Saccharomyces cerevisiae S288C: one gene and its partners. The gene in region 1 interacts genetically with each later gene. Each region holds a gene or a part of one and is shown on either strand. Other genes may lie near its edges.

Region 1 (6,962 bases):
CCCAGTTCCTTCCTCTTTTGCAAATCATAAATTCTGATGTGCTCGTCATTGGATCCAGAAACTAGGTATCTTCTTGAAACAGCCAAACATTTAATACTCAACGAATGGGCTTGAAAATGAAATATTGGCATAAAATGTGGTGTCTTTGCTGCATCATTTTCCTTTTGATTTGGGATATCTAAGGATAAACACAAAATGTTGTGCTCGTATGAGCCCACAATGATACGAAATTGGTTCTTGTCGCCTATAGCACTCATTTTTCTACACGAATTCTTGACTTGGCCCTTAGGATCTTTTCGAGATGAGGTACCATGAGTTTTCAATTTTTCATGTTCTAAAAAATTTTCGGCCTTGATCTTGAACTTTATAATTCTAAGCAAAAAAAAAATGAAGACAGTATAAGTAGTATTCAGTAACATAAAGAAGATAAAATTCAAAAATGCAAAATAATAAAAAATGAATCTATATAGTGTAAGGATTATGTAGCTAGAAAAATGTCTTTAATTGACTCGCATGTCGTTTAGAATGTTATTGTTTTGAAACTTCGATAACTGCATTTTAAAAGAGGTTTTCATCCTTTCGTTGCCTAGTAGTACCTTGGCTAAACCAATTCTTAAATATTCCTGAACAATTTTGGATAAATTATGAAACATATCATCATCTTTCCCCAAATTCGATAATGTGAAACATAATAAGAGTACTAAAGTTAAGGGGATCCAAAAGAATAGGAGCATCTTATCATTCTGAAAGTTTTGCTTCTTGGAAAAGATTGTGTTGAACCCGACCTGTAAAGCTTCTAATTCATCGTCTTCAGAAGAAGTTTGAGAATCATCCACGGTCATTTGGGCAGAATTATCTGGCCCAATCTCCACAGATTTGCTACCAAGTTCCCAGTTTTTGGGTTTTTTTGGGAACAAGTCTTCATACTTTGGGAGCTCGTCATTTAAACGAGTTAGCATTCTGTTCCATAAAGATCCGTCAGGCTCTATGCTAGTCTTAGTAGTTTTTGGTATTTCATTTGGCTTTGAAGAGAAGTCCTTGATTTTGTGGGTGTTAAAGAACTCCAAAGCAATCTCATCTGAAGATGATTCACAATCACTTATGTCATAACCTGAATCCGAATCTAGGATTGAGAATGACGTATTGTCATTACAGTTGGATTGTTCGGGGGCAAGGGCAGCGGAATCCGCCAATAAATATTTTCTTTCTTGGACATAGTCATGATCAGCATCGTCATCATCAAATAAACTTGAGTTGAAACTTGACTGGGATACATTTCTCTCAAACGGTTGAGTATCACTGGATCCTGTTGTATTCTTCGTTAATCTAGTCAGAATGTCGTCAAACAGACTGGTTTCATAATTAGAATATCTGGTCTTGTTGACAGTATAATTCATCAGGAAGAACTGTTTAGCGATAAAGCCGTTTCTGGTTTTCTTCATAATATTAACGTTGCATTCTAACAATAGTCTTATAATTCTCAAGTCACCATTAATACACGCCATATGTAGCGGAGTAAAACCAAATAAATCTTGGTCGTTCAAATGCGACCCATATTTGATTAGTAATGAGACAAGACTATACCAGTTATTGAATGCTGCCAGATGTAATAGAGTTCTACCCCTAACGTCACACATGGAAAGATTGACGGTAGAGAGATTATTATTTCTCTTAAATGACTTAATAACTTCAGTGATCAATTGTTCATCGTTTATATTTCGCATCATATTCGTGTACGAATTTAAAGAGCTATTCTGTGAGTGTAATCCTGCGTTATTATTAGATGGAGATGAATCACTGCCAACAATCCTTTTAGCAATATTTCTTGCATCTTCCAGTTTACCGTTCATTTTCAGCCCCACAATTTGCAGAGCCAATTCAATTAGTTGCCTATCAGTATCATCAACATAAGTAAAGATTGCTTTCTCACCGGTATACTTGTTTAAGTGCAGAATGTCATTGGTACTATTGCTGGTGGAAACACTACTATTGCTATTATTTCTCATAGACGTTTCACTTGGGTCGACTATGGTTACCAAAACCGGTCCAGGTTTAGATGAAGGCGGTAAATAAGTCACCATCGTAGATTCATTCCAGCATTGGCTGGACAATGCTATATTTTCGCCAAACTTGATGATTAAGCCCTGCTTAAACTTTGAGCCAAGTAGAGTCACTTCTATACCTCCGTTGATGGAACCTTGTGCGGGGATGACACGCTGAATAGAAGGCTTGTTATTTAGCGCCACGGGGACACTATTATGGTTCGATATATCTTTGGAAGAATCGATGAATTTCTGGGGAAGACGGGAAAACGTATTAGGCGTAGACATAAAAGGCTCGTTTACCGAACGCTGCCTCTTGCCAGTGTGTCTCGCAGAGGCCGCACTGAAATCACTAGTTAATGTAGTAAGAGCGGGATTAGATGAACTATTAAAACCTGTGGACGACCAAGAGTCTAGTGAACGATGTAAATTGTTGTCGTTGTTATTAGAAAAATGAATATCTGAAAAAGAATGGTTGCTGTCCTCACTGGAGGAATTTGGTGATGGAAAGTGTCTGTTGTTGTTCATCATTGCGGTATTAGTCTTAATGTTGTTTTTGTTATCATTATCATTGTTGTTGTTATTACAATTGCTATCAAGCATACAGTTCGTAGAAATGACAAAATTTTTACTGTTAGAAGGCAGGGGGAATTCGGATGGGAAGTTTAAGTCACTTTGCGGCGATGAAAAGGATCTAGTGTCATTTGTCATTGGCGAAACCTGGGCATTGCTGGTGCTGGTTGGAGTTGTGGTATTGCTGGCATTTTTCTTGTCCATGATCATTATGGGATCTGTTATAGTTTTCGCCAAGATATCGCCGTTATGGTCCCTTAGAAGGAACAAAACTACAAACCCGTTAGTTGCCTTGTGGTGTCTGCAGTAACAGACGATTCTCGTCGGTAAGTCGAAATTGATACAGTTAGAGTTACCACTCAAACCGTTATTACTAATGATGAAAAGTTGTTTACTATTGAATATGATTGCTCTTTTGTTTTCGTTATTTTGCCAGATGGAGTTGTCGTTCAACCCAGACTTTCTTCTCGACGCTCTTCTTTTTTCCCTGTTGATACATCTATTACAAACATAGGTCTGCTTGAAGTTGTTGCTATTGTTGTTAGATGCACACAAAAGAAAGGCGTCCAAGAAAAGAGTCCTTTCGTTGATGTCCCTATTGGGTATTGTCAAGTTGGTGGGATCGTCCGAGCTGGTGAAAAACTTGTCCTTCGCTATACAATCAGAGGGCAGATGAATAAAGAAGTTTTTTCTTGCATGTGCGTTTCTAATCCGAAAACTCAGCTTCATCTGAGTTTCCACCCTAGAAACCTTCGGCAACCCAATAATTTCTAGAGACAATGGAAGGGACTGCGGGTTAATGTTGATAAAATCCAGTGGATTCGCGTATGGCGTCCTCAGAGGTAGCTTTCTGCCAAATTGAACGTGTCGATCAAGCAATCCTTGCAAAGATGCGATGTCATCCCTGAGCTCCCCTTCATCTTCCTTACCTGGTGTAGTAGTACCTGCTGTTATCATTTTCTCTTGGTTCAGACTCAATAAACCAGGGTCTTGCAGAGAGGACCCAGAGTTGAGCAGAGCAATATCCAGTAATTCTGATTCTAGTAAATCCAAGTCCGGAGAGCCATCGTTGTGCTGTATGTTGGCGCTATAGCTGTGGAGCATCGAGGAAACGTTTCCTGTGCCACTCATCATTTTCAGTGGTGTACTACTGTTGTGATTAGTCGTTTAGAGGATATCTAGAGTATAATTATTTTGAATGAGTTTCGTTGACATTTTCAGTTCATGCGATCATCTTACTTTCATGGTTGCTCCTTGCCGTTAAAATTGAAACGAAAAAAGCGGGAATACAACAATGTCACCTTACACGAGCAGAGAAAAGGGCAGCAATAGCGACAATAACCGATAATGCCAGGCCTTCCAGAGCCCTATGCTGACCTATATTCATCATGACGCTATCCATATGCAACTAGAGACCTGCTGGGAAGCGCTCTCTCATTTTTGAAGGTTGCAGCAGTGCTCGCGCCGGTTTTCGATTGGGCCTCGTGATAAAACACATCAGCAAAGTTTCGCTTTTGACATTCTGTTAAATTGGTCCTTAACTGTTGGTGCAGACCTACTGCAAGACTGTTAATTATGGTATATTATATATCAAGTGCTGATACAACGTACACCATCGAAAATGGAGGAGTACGATTATTCAGACGTTAAACCTTTGCCCATTGAGACAGACTTGCAGGATGAACTGTGCAGGATTATGTATACCGAGGATTATAAGCGGTTGATGGGACTCGCAAGGGCTCTGATCAGCCTTAACGAACTGTCACCCAGGGCACTACAGCTAACAGCCGAAATTATCGACGTGGCGCCAGCCTTCTACACCATATGGAACTACCGATTCAATATCGTCAGGCACATGATGAGTGAATCCGAAGACACTGTCTTGTACCTGAACAAGGAATTAGACTGGCTAGATGAAGTTACGCTGAATAATCCAAAGAACTATCAGATCTGGTCCTATAGACAGTCTCTTTTGAAGCTACATCCGTCTCCTTCCTTCAAAAGAGAGCTGCCTATCTTAAAACTGATGATTGATGATGATTCCAAGAATTATCACGTTTGGTCGTACAGAAAGTGGTGCTGTTTGTTCTTCAGTGACTTTCAACATGAGCTCGCCTACGCCAGCGACCTCATCGAGACAGACATTTATAACAACAGCGCATGGACTCATAGGATGTTTTACTGGGTGAACGCTAAAGATGTCATTTCAAAAGTGGAATTGGCCGACGAGCTCCAGTTCATTATGGACAAGATTCAATTGGTTCCGCAGAACATCAGTCCGTGGACCTACCTCCGTGGTTTCCAAGAGCTATTCCATGATAGGCTACAGTGGGATAGCAAAGTAGTCGACTTCGCCACAACCTTCATCGGTGACGTATTGTCACTTCCAATTGGCTCACCAGAGGATTTGCCCGAGATCGAGTCCTCATATGCCCTGGAATTCCTGGCATATCACTGGGGGGCAGACCCTTGTACCCGAGACAACGCTGTTAAGGCCTATAGCTTGCTAGCAATCAAATACGATCCTATTAGAAAAAACTTGTGGCACCACAAAATAAATAATCTGAACTGAATATATGTAAGCACTCTATTTGTACGAATATATTTACGTGTGTACGTGCATGCACGCAAGTTTAATCTAGTTCTACAAACCTACTGCTGTATTGAGATTGATCTCTTCCCCTTCGTTTTGGACCGCTATCATTGATGCGTCCAAACCCGTCCTCGTTCAACTGCTTTCTGAAAAATTTAGAACGTTTAACCATCTTCAGCGTCCTTGTGTAGCACATCTCTCCCCATGACAGATATCTATGTATCCAGCCGCCCAACTGATACTGGTTGTAAAAGAATATCATTCCCGTCTCCCTTCTTATTGCCGATAGGAGCATAGCTACCAACGTCCCCTCTACTACCCACCTTATCATTCCCAACATCTTGCAATATGTTACGATCTGATCTTCACTCTCTTTTGCTCCTTCTTTTTGCTGTTTAACTGTTACCTACACTCATTTATTCGATACCTTTTTTTACCCATTTTTTCTTCATGCAGTTTAGCACTAGTACATTAAAAAAGAAAGAAAAAAAATGAAAGCAAGACTAAAATATCGAGCAAAGCACAAGCAAATACACCGTTTGTCCTTTTAGCATAGCCAACAATGACCACCGTGTCCATCAATAAGCCCAACCTGCTGAAATTCAAGCATGTTAAAAGCTTTCAACCTCAAGAAAAAGACTGCGGACCCGTAACCTCATTGAATTTCGACGATAATGGCCAGTTTCTACTGACCTCTTCTTCCAACGATACAATGCAATTGTACAGTGCCACGAACTGCAAATTCTTGGACACTATAGCCTCTAAGAAATATGGCTGTCACTCCGCTATCTTTACGCACGCACAAAACGAATGTATCTATTCCTCTACAATGAAAAATTTTGACATTAAATACCTTAATCTGGAAACAAACCAATATCTAAGATATTTTTCCGGTCATGGCGCCCTAGTGAATGATTTGAAGATGAACCCCGTGAACGATACGTTTCTATCGTCGTCATACGATGAATCCGTTAGGCTTTGGGATTTGAAGATCTCTAAACCGCAAGTTATTATACCAAGTCTCGTACCAAATTGTATCGCATATGATCCAAGTGGCCTTGTATTCGCATTGGGGAACCCAGAGAATTTCGAAATAGGGCTATATAATCTGAAAAAAATTCAGGAGGGTCCTTTCTTGATAATTAAAATTAATGATGCGACTTTCAGTCAATGGAATAAATTAGAATTTTCTAACAATGGAAAGTATTTATTAGTTGGCTCCTCGATAGGAAAGCATTTAATTTTTGACGCATTCACAGGTCAACAATTATTCGAACTAATAGGAACAAGGGCCTTCCCGATGAGAGAATTTCTAGATTCTGGATCTGCTTGTTTCACACCAGATGGTGAATTCGTCCTTGGAACCGATTATGACGGTAGGATTGCCATTTGGAATCATTCTGATTCAATAAGTAACAAAGTATTAAGGCCGCAAGGGTTCATTCCCTGTGTTTCTCATGAGACCTGCCCCAGGTCAATTGCATTCAACCCTAAATATTCGATGTTTGTTACCGCAGACGAAACAGTAGATTTTTACGTGTACGATGAATGACTGCTGCTACTGCATTGATATACTAGAGGATATAATATATAACGAACATTTTTTACCTACTGTATAACGACGTATACTCTATACATCTTGTGTATTCTTTACAAATAATCGTCAATGTTGGGGTACCTTACGTCAGCGTTCTCTTCACACCATTCTGACCAACTTTTTAGGTACTTGTTACCGCACCTTTGCAGAACTTCTA
Region 2 (3,999 bases), on another chromosome or scaffold:
ATCTTTGAATTTTTATCTCTTTCAGGTAACCCCATGACCAGTAGGGCGGCTTACTACCGAAGAGAAAAATGTCCGCGGCCTAGACAGTTACTTCCCAGGCCAGGGCCAGGCCACACGGACAGAGGCAGATTCCAAGTTGTTCCGCATAGTCTGTCTAGCTCTTTCTCAATTTTCCGCCAGATTCTGTCTAATTTCTTTCCGCTCGAGTTGGCAACAGTACGAAGAAGTAACTCTAATAGATAGATATAACCGTTTTTGAGGGCATTATTTTTGCAGAAGATAATAGAAGAGAACCGTAACAAAGGAATCAAGCAAAGAAAAAGTATGTAATAGAATGTATTGTATGCTTGTGGAATGAATGTCAATGTAGCTATTTTATATGGTGAGCTCAAATTGAATGAACATATCGTGGAAATTTAAAATACTGAAGAATACCCAATAAGTCAATGCAACCTGTGAATGTTTTTCCTGAAATACGCCGAATACTGAATACGATTATTACCATAAATTGCTTCTAGAAGGAAGGCGGTGTACCATTTAATACTGATGATATGGTTAATATCATTTGAGAAGTCTTCACATGAGGACTATAGAACTACCATCCAGGAATTATAGAGGAAATTAACTGAATCAGAGATCTATTTTGAAACATTCATTTACATGTAATTGTCTGCAATAAAGCAATATTTTTGAAATATGCAAGTTTACTAACAAGAATAAATTCTTTTTTGATTTTTATCTTTAACAGTGGCTCATTTCAAAGAATACCAAGTCATTGGTCGTCGTTTACCAACTGAATCCGTTCCAGAACCAAAGTTGTTCAGAATGAGAATTTTTGCTTCAAATGAAGTCATCGCCAAGTCTCGTTACTGGTATTTCTTGCAAAAATTGCACAAGGTTAAGAAGGCTTCTGGTGAAATTGTTTCCATCAACCAAATCAACGAAGCTCACCCAACCAAGGTCAAGAACTTCGGTGTTTGGGTTAGATACGATTCCAGATCTGGTACTCACAACATGTACAAGGAAATCAGAGACGTATCCAGAGTTGCTGCCGTCGAAACCTTATACCAAGACATGGCTGCTAGACACAGAGCTAGATTTAGATCTATTCACATCTTGAAGGTTGCTGAAATTGAAAAGACTGCTGATGTCAAGAGACAATACGTCAAGCAATTCTTGACCAAGGATTTAAAATTCCCATTACCTCACAGAGTCCAAAAATCTACCAAGACTTTCTCTTACAAGAGACCATCAACCTTCTACTAAGCCAACAAGATATTTCTACGTTTTTTAGTATAATAAAATTTTGTATAATTCATTTTGTAGATTCAAGGAAATTTTAAAATATATCCTGTTTCTTCTCTTACATTATGCACTACCAGCGTGAAAGCACAATGTCATGCCATGTATCTTTACAAAATCCAGGGTCCATAGCGGGTAACAAATTATTGGTTTTTCTGCGATAAATATAAAACGTAGCGTAATTATAAAAATCCTGAGCGGTGTTGTCGTAGAGCAGTTGAACATTACGTAAACAGATATCTACGCATTTCTGTCATTTGGATTCATACAGGGTTTACAGACAATATGGGGACCGAAGATGCCATTGCCCTTCCAAATAGCACGCTAGAGCCGCGTACCGAAGCTAAGCAAAGACTATCATCTAAGAGTCATCAAGTCTCGGCGAAAGTAACGATTCCAGCAAAAGAAGAAATTAGTAGTAGCGATGACGATGCACACGTTCCAGTGACAGAAATACATTTGAAATCTCATGAATGGTTCGGCGATTTTATAACTAAACATGAAATTCCCCGTAAGGTGTTCCATTCTTCCATTGGCTTTATTACTTTGTACCTGTATACGCAGGGTATTAATTATAAAAATGTTTTATGGCCTTTGATATACGCCTTCATCATATTGTTTATTTTGGATCTGATAAGACTAAACTGGCCCTTTTTCAATATGCTTTACTGTAGAACTGTGGGTGCGCTAATGAGAAAAAAGGAGATTCATACATACAATGGGGTATTGTGGTACATTCTTGGGTTAATCTTTTCTTTTAACTTTTTCTCTAAAGATGTTACCTTAATATCGTTATTTTTGCTAAGTTGGTCCGATACAGCCGCCGCAACTATTGGAAGAAAGTATGGTCATTTAACACCCAAAGTGGCAAGAAATAAATCCCTTGCAGGTTCGATAGCTGCGTTTACAGTTGGTGTTATCACCTGCTGGGTATTTTATGGCTATTTTGTTCCTGCCTACAGCTACGTCAACAAACCTGGCGAGATCCAATGGAGCCCAGAAACAAGCAGATTAAGTTTGAATATGCTATCCTTGTTAGGTGGTGTGGTAGCTGCTTTGAGTGAAGGTATAGATTTGTTCAACTGGGATGATAATTTCACTATTCCTGTCCTGTCATCACTTTTTATGAACGCAGTAATCAAAACATTCAAGAAATAAAAGCATATATACCAAAAACAGGAGTGTTTTATATTCTTCGGTAAGTCTTTTTTACAGTAACTGGAGTGCGCGATTCAGTTTATCTGTGGTTAACGATCCAGCACCTCTTCGATCTTTGGCATCCACAAATTATTTTTCTAAATATCCTACATATCCGAGTATAGAGTTAGAACCTGTGTAAATTATTCAGCAGTATTTCCGTATTTTTCACGCCATTAGAAACATTCGACACAAGCAGTTTTATGAAAACATTTATGTTACTAATATATGTGCCAACAAGCGCATCCAAATGGGGCGCAACATTATTATTTAATCGTAAACCTACACCATATTTTCATCAGTAAAAAAAGGCTTTTTCATGCCCCAACTTTGTCACAAAGCAATCATATCAGAGAACAATAAAAAAGAACAATCCTGCGAAATACGATTACCAAGATCCTGAACCAGCGTTCATTTATCTTGGCATCTCAAGGATATATGGTTTATCTGCGATTACCGCCCAGTGGCCTTATTGATATTGATATCATTGTGTACGTTAGAACAGAAAAAAAGAAATTTGGAAAATTTTTCAACCTCATCGAAAATTTTCAGAAAAGCAAGAATTATTTATGCTTTCGCAAAAATTTCGCATATAAGTTATTTTTGAAATAGCAGTCGATACCAAATTAGCTGTAGAACCTCAACCTCCTCATACAATGGCTTACGTTTTAACTGAAACTTCAGCTGGTTATGCTCTTTTAAAAGCTTCCGATAAGAAAATCTACAAATCTTCAAGCTTAATTCAAGACTTGGATAGCTCTGACAAAGTCTTGAAGGAATTCAAGATCGCCGCCTTTTCCAAGTTCAACTCTGCAGCTAACGCTTTAGAGGAAGCCAACTCCATTATTGAAGGTAAAGTTTCTTCCCAATTAGAAAAACTTCTGGAAGAAATTAAAAAGGACAAGAAGTCGACCTTGATTGTTAGTGAAACTAAACTGGCAAACGCTATTAATAAGTTGGGATTGAACTTCAATGTTGTTTCCGATGCTGTAACCTTAGATATCTATAGAGCTATCAAAGAATATTTGCCAGAATTGCTGCCAGGTATGTCTGATAATGATCTAAGCAAGATGTCTTTGGGTTTAGCTCATTCCATCGGTCGTCACAAATTAAAATTTTCTGCTGACAAAGTTGATGTTATGATTATTCAAGCAATTGCTTTATTGGATGATTTAGATAAAGAATTAAACACATATGCCATGAGATGTAAAGAATGGTACGGGTGGCACTTTCCTGAGTTAGCTAAGATTGTTACTGATTCCGTCGCTTATGCGAGAATTATTCTAACAATGGGTATCAGATCCAAGGCTTCTGAAACAGATTTGAGTGAAATCTTACCAGAAGAGATTGAAGAACGTGTCAAAACCGCTGCTGAAGTGTCTATGGGTACTGAAATCACTCAAACCGATCTAGACAACATTAATGCTTTAGCTGAACAAATAGTCGAATTTGCCGCTTACAGAGAACAGTTGTCCAATTACTTGTCTGCAAGAATGAAGG
Region 3 (3,853 bases), on another chromosome or scaffold:
AAAAAAAAAAAATTTTTTTTTTTTCTTGTTTCTCACTGCATTCTACAGGGATTTCTGTGGAAGGATTACCTCTATTGTTCAAAAGATAATAAACGTGGGAGTTTATCTGACGTTCGTCTTTGCAATTCCATTGTCTTTTTTTTTCTCTGCGGGTCGAATGATCGCCGAACCAAAGGACTATACGTAGTTATTTAGTTTCTAATATACTTCGCGATATTTTCTGCAGTCTCGCTACTGGCCGTTTTCCCTACTTGTTGCATAGCTTCCTGATATCTCCTTTGTAGGTCTGGAGCAGAGTTCTCGTTGACCTCACCTTTTGTTCTTTCTTCGCCTGGGAACGTGTATTCTCTCTCAACGCCTTCGTCCTCATCCCTATCCACAAGACCATCATTGGCATCCTCTTCGAGGTCGCTAATGGCATCTATGCTGTCGTTGTCGCTGGCTGCAGCGCTGCTCTTCTCGTTTAACCCTAGATCCTTCATCAGGCCATTCAATGATTTTTGCTTTCTCATCTCTTCCTTTTTCTTTTTTAGGTTCAATGCTTTTTCACGTTCTTGCTTATAGTATTGGTCGTATTCATCAACTTTCTTGTCTACGCATTGCATAAATTCGTCGAATCCGTCTCCGGTAAAACTGGAAACGCCCACGACGTCTAGCTGGGAATAGAATTCTTCAAGCATCAGTGACATAGAATTGACCAATGAGCTCATGTACCCGGAGCCCAGCCCATTGTCACCATTCAAGTCTTGATCTTCCTTGATTGCTGCTTGGAAACTCTCAAAATCCGTCATCCATTCCTTAGCAAAATCTGCCTTGCACACGTCGGTCTTGTTGAAAACGACAATCATGGGAAGTTTGGTCTTATACAGAATGGAGCAGGCGTACAGCATGTTACTCATGAATGTAGTTGGGGATGAGTTTCTAGGCGTATCCACGATATATGCAATCACTGTGGGAAAGCTGGAGGCAAAAGATTCCGTGATAATGGCACCCGACGCACTCCACACAAAACATTCGATTTGGCCTGGAGTGTCGATGATGCAGTTTTGGAACTTGTCCTTCTTCTGTTCCACCAACCTAATAACTTGATCAATCTTGGTGCTGAACAAATTCAAACTGGTGACAATGGCACCGTTCGGACCTAGCTGGTAATTCTCCATCACTTTCTTGTATTTGATTGAGTCTCTGATATCGATGTTTGCACCATAGGGGACTCTCAATACTGCAGGATCAAGATTGATTACGTATGGTGGCGTTTTCTCTGCCCGCAAGTGGGAGTTTAACCTTTGCATGAAAGTTGTTTTACCGGATCCGGCCATACCAATACATATGATTGTGCTGAGACTCATTCTTGCTGTGTCGTTATTGCGTTTTGTAGTTGTTTGTGTGCGCTAGATGCTCTCATTGTATTCCTTGTTAAATAGAGCATCGCATTAAAATTTTTTTTTTTCACTTTCGCGAAGAAATTGCTTATGGAGCTATATAGAAACGGTAATAGCATAGGCTTCTAACATTATAGAATATATAGAAATAGAGCACTTACATATTCTTTTTGGCCTTATCACGGTTAGCGTAGATCATGGCAGTAAAAGGTTCTTCCCAACGAAGAGCGATCTTGTACATGAAGTAAACTACGGCAGAAACAACCAGCCCCGCAGGCTTTCCTTTGTAAAGGGCTATGCCCAAGAAGGACAAAGTGGAACCCTGGTACATGGGGTTGTTGGAAACGTTGAAGGGGAAGCCGGTGACTCTCTCATCCATCAGGATGCCGAAATAGTCACCCAAGTACGTCCCTGTGATACCCAGCTTGTACATGGAACTCAAAACAAGCACTTGCCCCAAACCAAAGAGAGCCACACCCAGCTTGGTCCAGTTCTCGCCCGTGATCAGAGAACACGTAGGCTGTTCACGCAATGCAGACTCGTACACCATGTCTCTGACGATACCTAGCGAAAATATGGTCGCCGCCAACATGTAACAGCCCTTTCTGGCCCCACCACACATCTTGGTGAGAGAATGCTTGTGGTATTCCATTCTTGCAACGATGTTCCAAAAGATAGGATTGAACATCGTGCACACAATGGCCAGCTGGAACTTGGAAGACTGTAAATCGACACTGTGGATGAGTTGCTGGATGATCTCTTGGACTGACTCCTTCATCGCTTGACTTGCGCTATTCTTGTTGTCTTCAATTGCTGTTTATGGCTCTGTCCAAGAACGTTCATGTTCTTCATATGTGTTCTCTTATAAAGACCCCTTATCCAGTGGTCATTGCAGTGGCAGTGGACAGAAACCAACGATGCATGTGTGGGTTTGCATATGAAGATTGAAAAGGCTTCTCATATTTCACAACCGGTGCAACTTTCCACATGCACTCTCATTGACACCTACCCTGGTCATCAAGGAAGCATGAACAACAAGGAAGTCGAATTATACGGCGGCGCCATCACTACTGTCGTCCCACCTGGGTTTATAGACGCTTCTACTCTAAGAGAAGTCCCCGATACACAGGAGGTGTACGTCAATTCCCGTCGCGATGAAGAAGAATTCGAAGATGGACTAGCCACCAATGAAAGCATTATCGTGGATCTCTTGGAGACGGTCGACAAGAGCGATCTGAAGGAGGCTTGGCAGTTCCACGTGGAAGACCTGACGGAGTTGAACGGGACCACCAAATGGGAAGCTTTACAAGAAGACACTGTTCAGCAAGGAACCAAGTTCACCGGACTCGTTATGGAAGTAGCAAATAAGTGGGGAAAACCAGATCTGGCACAGACCGTTGTCATCGGCGTAGCGTTGATCAGATTAACCCAGTTTGACACGGATGTGGTCATCTCCATTAATGTACCTTTGACAAAGGAGGAGGCGTCGCAAGCAAGCAACAAAGAGTTGCCTGCAAGATGTCATGCTGTTTACCAATTGTTGCAAGAAATGGTACGGAAGTTTCACGTTGTGGACACGTCGCTGTTTGCTTAATCTTTCAAATTTTAACCTTATGTTTATATTACCTTTTTATTTCTACTATATAGCGTATTACATGTTTTTTCCGATAAGTATAACGAAATTTCCCAGCAGCGAAGAAAGTGAAAAAATAACAGTGACCATAATGAACATTCCTCTCTTTCCATTTTGCACGTATTCTTGCAGAGAAGAGGCACTCTACTCGGAAGACAGCAGATAGATATATAGACTGTAGCGGTTAACGATGGCCAAAACAACAAAAAGAGCCTCCAGTTTCAGGAGGTTGATGATATTCGCCATAATAGCCCTCATCTCATTAGCATTTGGAGTTAGATACCTATTTCACAATTCTAATGCTACTGATTTACAAAAAATTCTGCAGAACTTGCCCAAAGAGATTTCCCAAAGCATTAATAGTGCCAACAATATTCAGAGTTCGGATTCTGATCTAGTTCAACATTTTGAGAGTTTGGCTCAGGAGATCAGACACCAACAGGAAGTTCAAGCAAAGCAATTTGATAAACAACGTAAGATCCTGGAAAAAAAAATCCAAGACTTGAAACAAACACCTCCGGAGGCCACCCTAAGAGAACGCATAGCTATGACTTTCCCCTACGATTCCCATGTCAAGTTCCCAGCATTTATTTGGCAAACTTGGTCCAATGATGAAGGTCCCGAGCGTGTTCAAGATATAAAGGGCATGTGGGAAAGCAAGAATCCGGGCTTTGCGCACGAAGTGTTGAACCATGACGTGATAAACGCACTAGTACACCACTACTTCTACTCCATACCGGAAATCCTAGAGACTTACGAAGCTCTGCCCTCCATCATCCTAAAGATAGATTTTTTCAAATACTTAATACTGTTAGTTCATGGAGGTGTTTATGCTGAC

The links.
Region 2: mutations in SPT23 (region 1) and DGK1 together harm fitness more than expected from each alone (negative genetic interaction), as found in Saccharomyces cerevisiae (5 studies listed by BioGRID).
Region 3: mutations in SPT23 (region 1) and OPI3 together harm fitness more than expected from each alone (negative genetic interaction), as found in Saccharomyces cerevisiae (5 studies listed by BioGRID).

Annotation. Positions count from the first base shown.
Region 1 is NC_001143.9:398,332-405,293, forward strand, and holds SPT23 (Spt23p), read right to left. Parts: upstream 3,750-6,962; coding exon 501-3,749; downstream 1-500. Other genes in the region: MAK11 (Mak11p), read right to left, coding at 1-419; RAM2 (bifunctional protein farnesyltransferase/protein geranylgeranyltransferase), read left to right, coding at 4,237-5,187; MCO12 (Mco12p), read right to left, coding at 5,249-5,548; WD-repeat containing protein SWD2, read left to right, coding at 5,771-6,760; ATP-dependent 5'-3' DNA helicase HCS1, read right to left, coding at 6,859-6,962. UniProt on the Saccharomyces cerevisiae protein: Dosage-dependent suppressor of Ty-induced promoter mutations. May exert its suppression effect through protein-protein interactions since does not present any of the motifs generally found in transcriptional activators or DNA binding proteins.
Region 2 is NC_001147.6:897,517-901,515, reverse strand, and holds DGK1 (diacylglycerol kinase), read left to right. Parts: upstream 1-1,587; coding exon 1,588-2,460; downstream 2,461-3,999. Other genes in the region: 60S ribosomal protein eL20 RPL20B, read left to right, coding at 322-322, 749-1,266; RNA-processing protein NOP58, read left to right, coding at 3,156-3,999. UniProt on the Saccharomyces cerevisiae protein: CTP-dependent diacylglycerol kinase that catalyzes the phosphorylation of diacylglycerol (DAG) to phosphatidate (PA). Controls phosphatidate levels at the nuclear envelope.
Region 3 is NC_001142.9:570,776-574,628, forward strand, and holds OPI3 (bifunctional phosphatidyl-N-methylethanolamine N-methyltransferase/phosphatidyl-N-dimethylethanolamine N-methyltransferase), read right to left. Parts: upstream 2,161-3,853; coding exon 1,540-2,160; downstream 1-1,539. Other genes in the region: GTPase NPA3, read right to left, coding at 192-1,349; Ran GTPase-binding protein MOG1, read left to right, coding at 2,320-2,976; HOC1 (alpha-1,6-mannosyltransferase), read left to right, coding at 3,206-3,853. UniProt on the Saccharomyces cerevisiae protein: Catalyzes the second two steps of the methylation pathway of phosphatidylcholine biosynthesis, the SAM-dependent methylation of phosphatidylmonomethylethanolamine (PMME) to phosphatidyldimethylethanolamine (PDME) and of PDME to phosphatidylcholine (PC).